Linked DNA regions of Rattus norvegicus. The protein of the gene in region 2 purifies or fractionates together with the protein of the main gene of each other region. This does not show direct contact. Links are inferred from orthologs where the notes say so. Each region holds a gene or a part of one and is shown on either strand. Other genes may lie near its edges.

The links.
Region 1: the proteins of Cdh2 (region 2) and Ctnnd1 purify together in Homo sapiens (affinity purification with western blotting; 6 studies listed by BioGRID and IntAct, with this or other methods). This does not show direct contact. The link is inferred for Rattus norvegicus from reciprocal best matches to the Homo sapiens genes CDH2 and CTNND1.
Region 3: the proteins of Cdh2 (region 2) and Jup purify together in Homo sapiens (co-immunoprecipitation; 4 studies listed by BioGRID and IntAct, with this or other methods). This does not show direct contact. The link is inferred for Rattus norvegicus from reciprocal best matches to the Homo sapiens genes CDH2 and JUP.
Region 4: the proteins of Cdh2 (region 2) and Ctnna1 purify together in Homo sapiens (affinity purification with mass spectrometry; 4 studies listed by BioGRID and IntAct, with this or other methods). This does not show direct contact. The link is inferred for Rattus norvegicus from reciprocal best matches to the Homo sapiens genes CDH2 and CTNNA1.

Annotation. Positions count from the first base shown.
Region 1 is NC_086021.1:90,113,672-90,117,235, reverse strand, and holds part of Ctnnd1 (catenin delta-1), read left to right. Parts: intron 1-764; exon of another isoform or gene 765-882; intron 883-2,489; 5' UTR 2,490-2,583; coding exon 2,584-2,778; intron 2,779-3,564. UniProt on the Homo sapiens protein: Key regulator of cell-cell adhesion that associates with and regulates the cell adhesion properties of both C-, E- and N-cadherins, being critical for their surface stability.
Region 2 is NC_086036.1:8,087,289-8,090,852, reverse strand, and holds part of Cdh2 (cadherin-2 precursor), read left to right. Parts: intron 1-2,345; coding exon 2,346-2,488; intron 2,489-3,564. UniProt on the Homo sapiens protein: Calcium-dependent cell adhesion protein; preferentially mediates homotypic cell-cell adhesion by dimerization with a CDH2 chain from another cell. Cadherins may thus contribute to the sorting of heterogeneous cell types.
Region 3 is NC_086028.1:85,813,911-85,817,474, forward strand, and holds part of Jup (junction plakoglobin), read right to left. Parts: intron 2,503-3,564; 5' UTR 2,498-2,502; coding exon 2,290-2,497; intron 2,047-2,289; exon of another isoform or gene 1,482-2,046; intron 1-1,481. UniProt on the Homo sapiens protein: Common junctional plaque protein. The membrane-associated plaques are architectural elements in an important strategic position to influence the arrangement and function of both the cytoskeleton and the cells within the tissue.
Region 4 is NC_086036.1:27,001,136-27,005,425, forward strand, and holds the start of Ctnna1 (catenin alpha-1), read left to right. Parts: upstream 1-1,464; 5' UTR 1,465-1,530; intron 1,531-1,705; exon of another isoform or gene 1,706-2,039; intron 2,040-4,290. UniProt on the Homo sapiens protein: Associates with the cytoplasmic domain of a variety of cadherins. The association of catenins to cadherins produces a complex which is linked to the actin filament network, and which seems to be of primary importance for cadherins cell-adhesion properties.

The DNA.
Region 1 (3,564 bases), on a different chromosome or scaffold from region 2:
ACCTCTGAGTGGCCATTTGGAATGTGGAGTAGGAGTATGGGAAAGTGGCACTGGGGCATTGGGTATTGGGCTGAATGAGAACAGTGGTTGATAAATGATTGTGGGAGCCTAGGACTGGGTATAGGACGCATTTAGGGACAGTTCAATGTGTTCTCGGATTTAGTGACTGAACCAATTCAGTTTACTGGGCACCTGTTTATCAGTTTCCTCTAGGTACTCTTGCCTGCTGAATGCCGGATACATTTAAGGCAAACAGGCCCTAGCTTTTGTGTTTGGTGGGGCTCTGGGAAGCGTGGGAAACGGAGCCTGAGCAGAAGGCCCAGCCTAGGCTAGTCCCCACATGTCTTCCCCCCCATGACTATTACATTGGTTTCTCAATGTCTTTGTGGGCATGCTGGAACTGGGCTTTGAGGTTTCTGCCTTAAGGGTAGGAAGGAGGGGGAAGGGCATTCTAACAAATTTCACCCCCAAATCAGTTGCCTATGTGGCTTTATCTACATTGTACCCTGGTCTGGTTCTGCGTGGATTTACAAGTAGAGGAACTGCAGTGACAGTGCAGTCTGTGCTTTAATTAATCCTACATCCAAAGCCTAGATATCTGAACACAGCAAAGTTTAAAGGGTATTTGTTTCATTAAGCAACTCCAAGTTGTTTCTTAAATAACCCCCTTTCATTTCTAATACTCCCGTCACCCTCTTATATGTATGCAGTGGGTGTAGTTTATTTTCTTCCCATTCTCATTTTTCCTCCAAATATTTCTGCAGCTTTCTCCTTCCTGCTTGCTGCTTGCTGAGGTGGCTGGGATGCTTCCATGGTTTATCTGAATCTAGACTGGGCTATTCTCTGTGCTAAACCAATCAATTACGGGCCTTCTCTTAACAGGTGTGTATGGAATATATATTAAGAATTAAAAGTTATTTTAGGTGCCTTTTTCTCCCTTAGGTGTTTGGTGAGAAGTTAAGGGAATAAGAGAGAAAAAAATTCCTCCTAGTTTGCCATTCAACAGTATACATTTTATCTGTCTGTCTTATCTATCTATATGTCTGTCTGTCTACCTACCTACCTACCTACCTACCTACCTACCTACCTATCTATCTATCCTGCTTTTGAGACAGGATTTCTTTATGTAGTTCTGATTGTTCTGGAACTTGCTCTGTAGACCAGGCTGGCCTTGAACTCATAGTGAGCCATCTGCACCTGCCTCCCAAGTGCTGAGATTAAAGCTATGAGCTACTACACCTGGCCACAAAAACTTGAGACAAGATGTTGTTAAGTTGCCCAGGCTGGCCACAAATTTATGTAGGCTAGCCACAGAAGTTGTGATCTTCCACCTTCTGAGAAGGTGGGGTTGCAGGCCTGCACCACAGATGGCTTGAGGCAAAGCCTTTTTGTACAGTGTCTGAGGTTCTGTCACTGTTGTTCCCATTAGCATGTTTTGCCCTCTATCATGTAGTATAGTTTTGTGAGATAGAAAGGCCTCTTTACACATGTGTGAGACATGGAAGTTTAAGTTCTTTTGCCTTTCTATCTGGGAAGTTCTTCTATATTTCTTTTTTCCCTTTTCTTTTCCTTCTCTCTCTCTCCCCCTTCCTTCCTTCCTTTCTTTTCTTTTCTTTTCTTTTTTTTTTTTTTTGGCATGAGTATTGAAATATTGTTTTTTTTTTTTTAATTTTTTTTATTAACTTGAGTATTTCTTATATACATTTCGAGTGTTATTCCCTTTCCCGGTTTCCGGGCAAACATCCCCCTCCCCCCTCCCCTTCCTTATGGGTGTTCCCCTCCCAACCCTCCCCCCATTGCCGCCCTCCCCCCATAGACTAGTTCACTGGGTTCTTTTTTTTTTTTATTCCAAGACAGAGTTTCTCTCGGTATGTAGCCCTGGTTGTCCTGGAACTCTTTATCTGTGGACCAGGCTGGCCTCAAACTCACAGAGCTCTGCCTGCCTCTGCCTCCCAAGTGTTAACATTAGAAGCATGCACCTCCACCACTTAGCTAATATCTCCATTTCTTAACTGACATTTTCATTTATTATAATTTATCACTACAGCTACATTTATAGTGTTCAGGTTTGGGAGAGGTTAAGTAAAATTTGCGTTGTCCATTACTTGTAGAAGTAACTTGTCCTTGTACCCGGGAGTTAACTTTTATTAAGCTGATGCCTGCAAATATTTCCAGAGAAAAACAATCTAATTTTAATCCCACGCTATGGTGTCTCTGTCCTGCCAATAGTATAGAGACTTTGGTCAAACTGCCACCTTTTCTTTCAATAGGAAGGAGTTCGTAGAGTGTTAAAGAGGGAAGTAGGCGAAGGGTCCTTCCTATTGGAACAGACCTTGGTGATGGGCTCCCAAGCTTGGTTGGTGGTGGCTTGCTTTCTGCACTGCAGTAAAAACACAGAGGGCATCTTTGGCGCTGGGGATTAACAATTCTTCTGTCTTCTCTGACCTGTGATCTTTTCTCTTCTCTCTTACCCCTCCCCCCACCCCTAGTGTGAAGTGAGGGGACCTACTCCCTTCTTTCTACTCCCTCTGTGGTCCACCTTACTTTTTATCCTGCCCTGCGGCGGCTCCTCCCCTTACCTTCATGGACGACTCAGAGGTGGAGTCGACCGCCAGCATCTTGGCCTCTGTGAAAGAACAAGAGGCACAATTTGAGAAGCTGACCCGGGCGCTGGAGGAGGAGCGGCGCCATGTGTCGGCGCAACTGGAACGCGTCCGGGTCTCACCACAAGATGCCAACTCACTCATGGCCAACGGCACCCTCACCCGTCGGCATCAGGTAACCCTTTCTCCATCAGACCTGCAGGTAGGACGTTGGCATGGTTGCAACTGAGGCCTACAGATCCTTAATGAGATGCTACTGGCCCTGGGCTGTCCAGTGTTTACACTTGACGGTGAACTGTTCCAGGAATATTATAAATGTTGATTAAGAAATAAGGGATTTGTTACTGATCTGAGTTGGATGGACTTTAGAAACCCTTTGTGACTTCCTGTTTTGGATAGGGATGCAGTTCTAGTTATTTCTAGTTATGGTACTGTATTTTGTAGCTACACTCAGAGTCACTTCTGTTTTCCTTGAAATATCTTTTTTTCTCAGGGTGAAAAATTAGGAGAGTATATCTACTTAGTGGTTGGGGAAGTTGGGCATCTTGAGCTCCTAGCTCCAGTTCAATCTCAACTAGCGAACAATCTGTTCTCAGAAAGTGTTACAGTGTTCATAAATCCCCAATATTCATATTCCTTTCCCATATGTCCTTGTGTGCTTATTGTTGGGTGTGTAAACCATGTTTTGGAAGAAGAGATCATTGTTACTTTTGCTGGTTAGAGCTGGAGAGGGGGCATCATGCTATTATTTAACCCAGATAACCACAGGAGCAGCAGTAGTCTCAGGGTTGGCTGACTTAGATGTGACTTGGGAGGACTGGTGTTAGAAGTGAGAAGTATATTGTGTTCCCTAAGGTTTATGTCTGACTTTACTGTAATGTATCTGAGTGAATGTGCACGCACACATGCTGGGCACTGCTTGAGTAGACTGATCCTCTAGAGGTCTGAGTGGCATTAGAAC
Region 2 (3,564 bases):
TTTACTTCTTACTTTTGAAATAGTGTTCTTTACTCTAGGAATTTCATGCACAGATTCACATGCATCCCTAGGCCCTTCCCCTCCCCCTCCTCCCAGTTTCTCCTATTGCATTTCCTTCCCACTTTCACGTTTCATAACCACTCTGTTTTATAACCACTGGGTCCAGTTTGCTCTCTCTGTACATGCATGGCTATAGAGCCATCCACTGCAGCATGAGATGCCTACCTGGAGAGCTGCATTCCTAAAGAAAACTCACGATTGAAGTCTTACAGAAAATACTTTTTATTTTTTGAGATTAAAAAAAAAGCTACAAAAATAGGTTTCTTCAGTCCTCAGCACCCATGGAAAGATCAAATGGAGACATACATGTTTCCTGAAATAATTTTAGATTCTCTGGTGTATTTCCTTCGTAGGGCATCCATGACTTTATTAGGTTAAAAATACAAGACTGCATCTATTCATATGTTAGTAGAAGGAAAATCTTCCTTCTACTGTTCTGTCTTTTTCGTTAAAAATATCAATTATTTAGCCTACACTTTTGTATCAAACACTTAAAAAAGCAACACAGTGAATTAACAGGGAAGCTTCAGGAAATTACAAGCTCTCTCTTCTCCACACGTCCAGCCTAATGAGAACATATGCCAGACCAAAATGGGCCAACGGATGCTGTTCACCCCATACCTGTACAGCAAACCTATAAGATGTGTAATACGGTTCCAACCTCAGCAAAACCTAATGTATCCCGAGGTGGGACCGGGTGACTGACAGCTGCTCCATCCAACTGTTCTCTGTAGTGGCTGAAGTTAACTTTAAAATTAACTCGTAAGTTGGTTTAAGTGCTTTCAGGATGACTGCTGACAGATGACCACTCCAAGTCCCCAGTCCTCCATACCCAGAAATCAGGACAGTTAAATGGCTAATTGGTAGGCGCATTCAAATCCTGTAGACTTCACCTCTCAAAATAGACCGTAGCGTGTCCGATCTACGTGTTAGTTCTCTGAGTTGTAAAACTTCAGCTCACGTTTTAAGGAGTTGAAAGAAGTGAATGTGCTATTCCAGATGAAAGCCTTGGGGCTCTTTGAAGGACACCATCTGAGGCTTTGCCCCACGTGGAGGATCCTGGTAGGAATGGGGTTTTATGAGATCTCTCCGGTGATGCTTTGTCTCTCCCATGGTAAGGTGGTGAAGCATTAGGAGTGCTTTGTGCTGTGTGTTTTAACTGCTAATTCCCCCCTAGGTTCTGTATGAGAGGGCTCCAGTTCAGAGAGTATATTTGATGCTCGAATTACCCTAGATGCACAGAACACATGAAACTCAAGAAGGATAACCAAAATGCGGATGCTTCACTCCTTCTTTAAAAGGGGAACAAGAATACCCTTGGGAGGGAATAGGGAGGCAAAGTTTAGAACAGAGGCTGAAGGAACACTCATTCAGAGACTGCCCCACATGTGGCCCACACATATACAGCCACCAAACTAGATAAGATGGATGAAGCAAAGAAGTGCAGGCTGACAGGAACCGGATGTAGATCTCTCCTGAGAGACACAGCCAGAATACAGCAAATACATAGGCGAATGCCAGCAGCAAACCACTGAACTGAGAACAGGACCCCCGTTGAAGGAATCAGAGAAAGGACTGAAAGAGCTTGAAGGGGCTTGAGACCCCATATGAACAACAATGCCAAGCAACCAGAGCTTCCAGGGACTAAGCCACTACCTAAAGACTATACATGGACTGACCCTGGACTCTGACCTCATAGGTAGCAATGAATATCCTAGTAAGATCACCAGTGGAAGGGGAAGCCCTTGGTCCTGCCAAGGTTGGACCCCCAGTGAATGGGATTGTTGGGGGGGGGCGGTAATAGGGGGAGGATGGACAGGGGGAGGGGCTAGGAGGATAATGGCCCAGAAACCGGGAAAGGGAATAACAATCGAAATGTAAATAAGAAACACCCAAGTTAATAAAGCTGAAATAAAGAAAAAGAAAAAATATGGAGAGTGTATTTGAGCCCTATTGTCAGTACCCATGTTATGAATTGAAGTAGGCAAGGGCCTGAACTAAGGGTAGCTAAATCTTCCCTCAGCTCACCACAGGGAGACTGTGTACCATGTCTTACCCAGAAAGCTTTGCAGACCACGTTGCTGTGCTTTCGATGCGTACCTCCCGAAATCACTGCCACGGACTTAACATTTCTATCTTAAATTCTGTGTCTGCTTGTCACCTACAGCCATGCAAATCAACGAGGGCTTTGCCTTTTTGTAATTAAACCTGTAAAATTTACAGAGGCTTGATTTGCTAAGTTTCTGGTCAAAAAGTGTTTGAGCTGCTGCACTTTCGTTTTGCAGATACACAAAGTTATCTGACCCTGCCAACTGGCTGAAAATAGACCCTGTGAACGGGCAGATCACCACTATCGCTGTTCTGGACAGAGAGTCGCCAAATGTCAAAAACAACATCTATAATGCTACCTTCCTTGCTTCTGACAATGGTATGTAATTAAATAGATTTGTTGGGTCGTCTTTGTGGGTTAAAGAGAGCAGTGCCTTTTGTGCTGATGAAAGGATTAAGACTTTCCACAGTGCTAAAGTACACAGAAAGCAGACCTTTGCTCTCTCAAGGTTCTAAAGCTCTGTTTTGTCTTGAAGCCCCAAATTTTCTTCCCTTGTCCCACTTGCTCTGTGTAAAGTACTTCTCTGCCATCTCTGTGACGTACTCTGTGTGTATGGATGGCTTCTATAGTGGGCTGGCATTGAGATCATGGGCCTCCTTGTTCTCCTGCCCTGACAGACAGACAGATGCCCTGTAAACTAGAGGTGAAGTCTAACTTCAGTGTTCCCAGAATGTGGTGTTATATGTATGTGTGTGTATATATATATACTCTTCATGTGTTTCTTTCTCTAGGCTTTTTCTCTGACGAATTCCTGCAATGTGCTAGAAAACTTATTTTTGTGCATATTCAGAAAATGAATATAAGAGCCTTGTGAAAGGGTTGGTTTTGAAACGTATTTTGACACTTTTTCTTTCCCAATGTGAATATCTGCTGGGTCAGAGTTGGTTGAAATGGATAAGTATGTTCTCTTAAATGTCTAAAATAAGGAGAACATACACAAATGCAAAATGACAGCTTTGCTAGCTCTCACACATGTCCAGCCTCGGCTCTTCTATAGACCAGGATGGCCTCAAACTTGAGACCCATCCCCTCCCTCTGCCTCCCAAGTGCCAGGATAGAAGGCATGCACCACTGCCCGGCAGTCCAGGTCTTCATTCAACTCTGTTAACTTTGTGTTGATTTTGTGGAATAAATGTATAGTGGAATTAATAGCTAATTTCCACTCCTTGAAGAATTGTCCAAATAAAGCTTTTAAAGCAGTGCTTGGCACAAGCTAATATTCACAGAAATATTTCTGTCATTGTTCATACTTCCAAAATGGAATCACAACCATATTTTAAAATATTTTTAGCATTAGACTATGAATGTATTTGCTTGTTGAAAAAATACGAGCTTCAAATTTGTGGTCAAGATGTGCAGTTTTAAAACATTGTGGTGATGAGACCCACTTGCAT
Region 3 (3,564 bases), on a different chromosome or scaffold from region 2:
AAGACTTGCTTTTAAAAGACTGACACCCTATTATTACAAAAATGACCGCGGCAACGTTTTTATTGCAGTGCAGTACTAGGAAGTAAAGGTCGGGACACACACTTGCTCAGCAAGCACTCTAACCACTGAGCTGTATTCCCAGCCTTTAAAAAAAAAATTAGGGGCCAGAGAAACGGTTCCGCCATTAAGAGCACGTGCTACTTACTCTCGGAGAGGACACAGGGTCTATTCCTAGCGCCTACATGGCGGCTCACAGCCCTATCTAACTCCAGTTCCAGGTTCGGGCGCCCTCTTCTGGCCACCATAAGCACTGCACCCATTTGGTACACACACTTCACAGACATGCAGGCACGCATTCATTCGCTTAAAAAACTAAAAATATGGGGTTGGGGATTTAGCCCAGTGGTAGAGCGCTTGCCTAGCAAGCGCAAGGCCCTGGGTTCGGTCCCCAGCTCCGAAAAAAAAAAAAAGAAAAAAAAAACTAAAAATATTTTAAGTTACCCAAGTTGGCTTTGAACTTACTTCGTACTCAGGTAGATCTTGTACTTGTAATCCTCCTGCCTCGGGCCTACCAAATAGCTGGGACATCATATACTTTTGCTACGATGGCCAGCTTAGAAATAAATTACTAACAGCTTTGGTTGGATGTGTAGCTTAGCTGGTAGAATGCTGGCCTGACAAGGTTCTGCTTCCAGCAGTGGATAAAAACAGGCACGGAGGGCTGGAGCGGTGGCTCAGTGGTTAAGAGCACCGACTGCTCTTCCAGAGGTCCTGAGTTCAAATCCCAGCAACCACATGGTGGCTCACAACCATCTGTAATGGGATCTGATGCTCTCTTCTGGTGTGTCTGAAGACAGCGACAGTGTACTCATATATAATCAATAAATAAATCTTAAAAAAAAAAAAACAGGCACGGTGGCACTCTCACACAATTACACTACTTCAGAAGTGGCAGCAAAAGGAAGTTGAAGGGCACCCTTGGCTACACAGTCCCAAAGGACTCTTTCTGGCCTCCAGGGGTCTCCCTCACACACATTTGTGCATATGTTCACGTAGACCCACACACATAAATGACGAAGAGGAATGGCTAATGGTGGAGTACTTGTGCCAGACACTGTGTTAAACACCTTCCTCCTGCTTATTTAATCTGTCAACAATGAGCTCACAAGGCAAGTACAACACTGTCTCCACTTTGCAGGACACTGGAGAGCGAGGTCATAAAAGCAGCGGACTCAGGAGCCCAGAGCCTCACTCTTCCTCCACCAGTGTAGTCAGTCAAGAGATTAAACAAGTTAAACTTCATCAGTCTAATGATACAACTCACTTTCCACAAAGTAGCAACTCAAGAAAAAGTCCCATATAGCCCTGCTTAGCAAATGACCCAGTGCCCTAGTAAGTAGAGAGGCAGGAACAAGGCCATTCTCTATGGGGAAAGAGAGGCTGCCCACAGGGCTCTCCTACCTATATACGCTTTCCTTTAGCTCCTAGGAAATCACCTGGCCTAACTGGACACAGAGAGGTTCCTCCCAGCACAGCCAAGAAGGAGACCTGGGACACAGAGGCTCAGTTCATAGAGCCCTAACCAGTCACAACTCATCCTGCAACTGTCCAGGCCTCAAATCCCATCTTCTGGGACATTTAGGGCCCTGGGGGCATCTGCAAATGACAGTCCTAAAGCCATGTGCACCTTTGTCCCAGAAGGGAATGGGACACTTGGACTGGTAGAGTATTTGCCTTTGTGATGGGACCCCACAACTGAATCAGCTCCCCCATGCCTGTCCTCAGTACAGTGCTAGCCCAGTCTAAGCTTGAACACTGTGACTCTTCCACCAGACTGGGGGGTGGGGCAAGTTGTTCCCTGTCTTTCTCATCAGACATGAAGTTTCTGGAGTGAAAAGAATATGTCTTTCCAGTAATCTCCAGGTCTCTCCAACCCCCACCCCAAGGGCTATCAATAAAATCTCCTTATTACATTTCTAAGACCCCAGAAGCCAAGAACTCTGGGCTCCAATGGCACCCTGTGACGTCCAACACATTCGGAATTCACTGGGGCGACTTCTCTATCTCTCTTTGGGTAGTCACGCGGTCCCTTCAGACTTCCCGAGTCCTCAAGAGTGGGAACTGTGAAGCCGGCCGGGCATGGTGGTGCACGCCTTTAATTCCAGCACAGGGGAGGCAGAGGCAGGCAGATCTCTGTGAGTTCAAAACCAGCCTGATCTACAGAGGTGTTCCAGGACAGCCGGGGCTATGCAGAGAACCCAGATTGAAAAATCTAAAGGGAGTCCAGACCTTGGCTCTGTGGCACCCCTTGTGTGTAGGTGGTAGTTTTCTTGAGTGTGTACTGTCTGCCGCAGGTGTCATCCTCATCGAGGAGGCCCTTGCTGCTGACAGAGGGCACACAGGTATTGACACCGGAGTGGATGCCCGAGTCATAGGTGTACGTCTGCTGCCACTCCGTCACCTTGATGGGCTGTTCAATAAGGTTCATCACCTCCATCGTGGCTGTTGGAGACAAAAACAGGAGCACAATGTCAGCTGCCTAGAGAGACACCATTACCTCCAGTTCCAACTCAGCTGTAGCCCCCATCCCTGATATCGTCCCTTCTCCTGAAGCCCTATCATAGCCTCAAGGGCCTCAGAGGGTTACAGACAGCAAGGTACAGGGGTGAAGTAAAAGGGAACCCAACCCAAAATGGGCCTGCCTGACCAGAAGATGGCTTGGGGCATAGTAGGGCTGCAGGGGGACCATTAGGAATAAGCTCTGGGTTTTTGCAAGCTCCAGCTCTGGTGTGAAGACAGGAAACAGTCAGATCCCTCCAGCCCAGCCCAGGGCTCGCCAGCCTGCCCCAACCCCAACATTGCCAGTGGAAAAGGAGCTAAGGGTTTCAGACAGCTGCTGGGCTCTGCAGACCTGCTCTCGCTCCACTAGAGCTCCCTGGGAAAGGGTGCAGAGGCTATAACAAACTATCAGCCATTGGATGAGAAACTGGGTGGGGCAGGGAAGCTGTCTGACAGGTTCCTCTGGGCCGCCCAGGGCTTCCTCAGAGTTCCTGAATCTCCTATTCCAGAAGGGCTAAGGGAGGAAGCGTAACCAGGGCTTCGTCTCTTCCAGCTCCCAGCATTCTGAGCTCTACGGACCAGTTCAAATCTTGGCAAACGACTCCCTCACCAATCCACCTCTCGTTGGGTGCCAACGGCTTCAAAGTCAGGTTCCACCACACTCGATGAACTGCTGTGAGGATGGTGCTTGGGAAGGACTCTCTATGGTGACAGCACTTAGTAGGGGGTCTACTATTGGGGACCAGGTTGTTGCTGTCCTAACTGCATCACCCCTAGGGTGTTCGTTCACCATCCACTTTCTAGAACCCGGGCTAGAAGAGCGGAGTGGAGCAGGCCTCTTGGGGAGGGGGGGTCACTGCTCTTGAGGTCTCTCACCCTGTTCTGAGGACTTGGGGTCACTTTAAGGCTCACGGGCATCTGCACCTACCTGATGTGGGCTTGTTTGGTCTGTTTGGCCCCACTGTCATGGGCTCAGAAACTACCACTACCTACATACAGGCAGTC
Region 4 (4,290 bases), about 19 Mb from region 2:
GTTCTTTCTAGTGGTAATCCTTGAGTCTTGCTTTAGCCTCCCAAGTACTGGAATCATAGCTAGGCCAAACAAATATTTATTATGTAATCATTACGTTCTGACATAGTCAAGTGAAGTAAGGGGAAAGCATAGACACTGCAGTCAGAGAGGACTATGGGAGGCAAAACCCCAAAGGTAGAAACAGAATAAGTGGTTGGACAAGAATGGCCTTGTGAAGGTATGTCTTTTTTGTTTTTGTTTTTGTAGTGCTGAAGACTAAATCCAGGGTATACTAGGCAAGCACTTTATCACCGAGACATCTCCAATTGTCTTTTCTTAAAATTCAAATTATTATGTGTTCTATGTACATGGGTGGATATGCCATCTGTACCAGTGTGGAAGTTATAGGGCAACTCTGTGGACTTCATTCTGTCTTTCCACAACTCAGGTTGCGAGGATAGTTGTTGGCAGAGTGGCAAACACCTTTACCCACAGAGCCATCTCTCTCATTTTCCCACTCTTTTTAAGAGGCTCTAAAAGACCAGGTGTAATGGTGCAGACCTATAATATAATCTCAGGAGTTGCGGGGGTGTGCAGGAGGATTAGGAATTCAGGGTAAATTGGCACTTGGGTAAATTCAATCCCCAGGATCCACATAGTGAAAGAGAAACCGCACGTCTTGATTTCCACACAAGCTCAGAAACTCACGGATCAGAGATTGGCCTGTCTCTGCCTCCGGAACACTGAGACTAAAAACATTGCTGTAATAATAAAAAAAAGTTTTTAGGTCATTCTTTCTTACACAGCCAGTTGGAAACCGGCCTGAGCTATGTAAGACCCTACTTCAAAAATAAAATAACACAACAAAACAAACACCACAAAACAAAAGAAAAAAAGACCAAAACAGATCCTGAGGTTCCCGTTCCACTGTGCCCGGAGAGGTGGAACTTTTACTTGGTGTGTTTCTTCTCCTAAAGCAAAGCAGAAGGTTGCCCCCTTTTCTGGACGCCTTGGACTAGGATACGGGGTACTTGGTCACAGCAGTGCGTTCCGCGAACCCTGCGTCGCCGCGCGGTCTCCGGGAGCCGGACGGGGCGGGGCCTTCCGGGGCCGCGCCCCGAGACTCACCTGAGCCGGGAGCCGTGACTCACCTGCCCTCCGCCCGCCTTTCCCCGCCGCGGGCTGTTCCCCGAGTCTCCGCCCCTCCTTCCCGTCGGGGGTCCGGGGTCTCCGTGCCCAAAGGCCATACAAAAAGGACTTCTGGGGGTCCGGGCCTGGAGTTGCCAGGCTACCTTCCGGGTGGGAGGCTCTCCCTAGAAAGCGCCGGCTGCGCCAGGCCGGGACCAGCGGTGAGGAGGCCTCGGGAGGCGCCGGGAAGAGCGCGCGGAGGGAGGTGCCGGGAAGGGCGGGCGCGGCGCGGCGCGGGGCGGGCCGGGGGCGGGGGCGCAGGGCGGCCCATTTCCTCCTGGGAGCCGGACGGGCGGGAGACAAAGCGGTGGCCGTCGGCTTGGCGCCTCAGGAGTCGTCCAGCGCTCGCCCCGTTCGCCGCAGGTAACTCTTCGTACCTTCCCTCGGGGTGCGCGGGGCCCCCTGGTGGGGCGCGGGTCTCCTCAGGCCGGGGTCCCGGGTGTCCGGCTCGGGCTTTCGGCCGCCGCCGCCCTGGAGCGTCGGGTTAGGGCGGCTTCCCTGAGCAGCCTGGGCCTGGGCGGGCGGAGCCCGACGCTCGGGAAGCAGGGCGACCGCCGGGGCGCTTCCTTGGAAAACTTTCTCCCTCTTTCTAAACTTTGTTCCCGGAGCAGGGAGCGCGCGCGGGATCGGCGTCGCGCCTCAGGCCGTCTCCCTCACTGAGGGACAACCGCGGCGTGTTCCTGGCGGTCGGGCTGTGGGGCGCTTTAGGGACGCGATTGTTTCGAGGATTTGTGTCGGCCACTCCCCTCCCCCTGCCCGCGGCTGAAACTTGGTGGTTTGCGGGACTAGAGGTCGGAGGAGCGGACATTCCAGCCCGACCCATGGAGAATGGAAGTCGTAGTTTCCTGTTCTCCAGCGCTCTTTTCCTTAAGGTGCGCCACACCCGTGTGGACTTGTGGCATGGAGTTTAATTTTTATCTTAAAATTACTCAGCCTCTTTTGCTGCTAAACCTGACTGACATTACTCTTAGTTTTCAGGAGTAGCATTAGAGTTACTAACATTTGATTACTGAGAGCGGATCTTGCTAACTAAGTAGCCCAGTCTGACCTGGATCGCTCGGTTTCCCTGCCTCAGAATCCCGAGGGCGGGCATCGCCAGCCTGCGATGTCAATGACCCGCCTTTCGACTTTAAAAGGAACTTGTTAATATGTGTGTAGAACTTGGGGGGCGGGGATGTTGTTGACTGGATTTGTAACCTTGGTTTTCAAGCAGTGGCCACCCCAATAATTCAGTGAGCGGTTGGCTCAAATCGAGGATTGATACTTCTGTGCCTTCATAACGTTTGGTTTTATTTTAAGTGTGCGTGTGTGTGTGTGTGTGTGTGTGTGTGTGTGTGTCTATGGAACTTAGAATAATTTATGCTGTAAATCTGTTTCATCATTGTTTTGCATCTTTTAGGTGTTTTAAGAAGGTTATTTTGTGTTTAGCGTTGGTTTTTAAAGACTACTGGTGGATGTTACCTCATGAAATGGAATTTGTTTTGTTTTACAAAAGGATTGAGTGGGGAAATAATTGGTGGCCTCTGTTTAATTGTTCATACTTCCTGCCTTAAACTAAGCTAAAAAAAAAAAAAAAAAAAAGACCAGGTTTTTAAAATTCTCTTTGAGGCCTGGAAGCTTCTCAAGTGTCATATCCTTTTTTCTTTTTCCATTCTGGATCTCACTGTGAAGCCTCAAACTAGCTTAAGCTTCCTGAGTGTTGGGGTTTAGATGTGTGCCATCACACCTGTCTGGGTCATATTGTATAATAATGCAAACAACAGAAACTTGTGGGAGCATGGTTGGGGGTGTTAACTAGGTTTATAAGCTGTTCTGGAAGGTGGTGGCTTTTGAACTGGGTGAAGCATGAGTTGAAGTAATGCGACAGAAGGAATAGGGAAATCTAAAAGGGCATTTAAGTGGAATGGTGATATTCTGGTTTTTTCCCCCCTTTACTTTTCAACCCCTCCTTTTCTTGCATATGATTCTAACCAAATATATTGGTTTCCAATATCAGTTGTGTGACACCCATCTCCATTCCCATTAGAAACATTTTATATGGTGATCAGAGATGAAGGGTGGCTTTTTTCCCCTCCTAGTTGAGTATCACTCACCGCCTTGTGCCTTTTCTCATCAAACCCCACACTGTTGTATTGGAGAACAAACCTAGAGCTGTGCTTGCTAGGCATGTGCTCTATATTTGAGCTGCACACCCCTACCTCTGTCATCAACCTTAGCCGCAAACGTCCAGTTTTTTATTTTGAGTGTAGTTTCTCTCCTGACCCACATGGGTCTCCTTATATCTTGTAATTTTAAAGAAAGTCACATTAGTGATAGTACAGCTAGCTCTCCCTGCTTGTTGAAGGTGTCGGTGGTTGTGTACTGGCTGAGACCTAGACAGGATGAAGGAATAGGATCCGAAGCAGGTGTAAGTAGCCTGAGCATTGGCTAGGCATTTGGAGGCCTACAGGTTTAGAGGAGATCTGTTTATTGTTAGTACTGAAGTAGGGAGAAGGTTGCCAGGGAAGGCAAAGGCCAGGTCACAGATTTAGATTTTATTCTAAAACTGTAAGATGATATAGGGCTTTCACGATCTGAACATTGTTTTATTCCTTGCTGGTGCTTAGAGAAAATTTGAATTGGTGTGTGTGTAAAGGCAAGGAGTTAGTGGGGAAGGTCATGTGGGTAAAGGTGACCTGGATGAGTGGAAAGGATCCAGATACAAATTGGGTAGAGGTGGCATCCAGGCATCTGGGTAAAGCTTCTGAAGCATTGAACTCTTTTCTCAAGAGCCAGCGTTTTCATTTCTGGTAGCAAATTTTGTGTTTAAGTTTTTTAGTAACTTCTGTTTGCGTTGTAACTTATTGATAGCCCTGTTTGCAGGCCTTGTTGGGAAGTGAGCCCTGTAAATCTATTCAAGGCAAGGCTCATGCCCTCTCCAACCTTTGGTTGGTATCTGGTAAGGAGGGCAAATTAGATGCTGCACTGAATGAAGGAGGAAGAAAGTCTTTCTCAGTCTAAGCTTAGGGCAGTCAATGACAGATGAGGTAATTGATTACAGTCTAACTGCTGTTCAGGGCAACTGGAGCTTTCTTCAACCTTGCCCTGCCCAAATCTAGTCAGGGACAGGATCCGCCCTAGAGT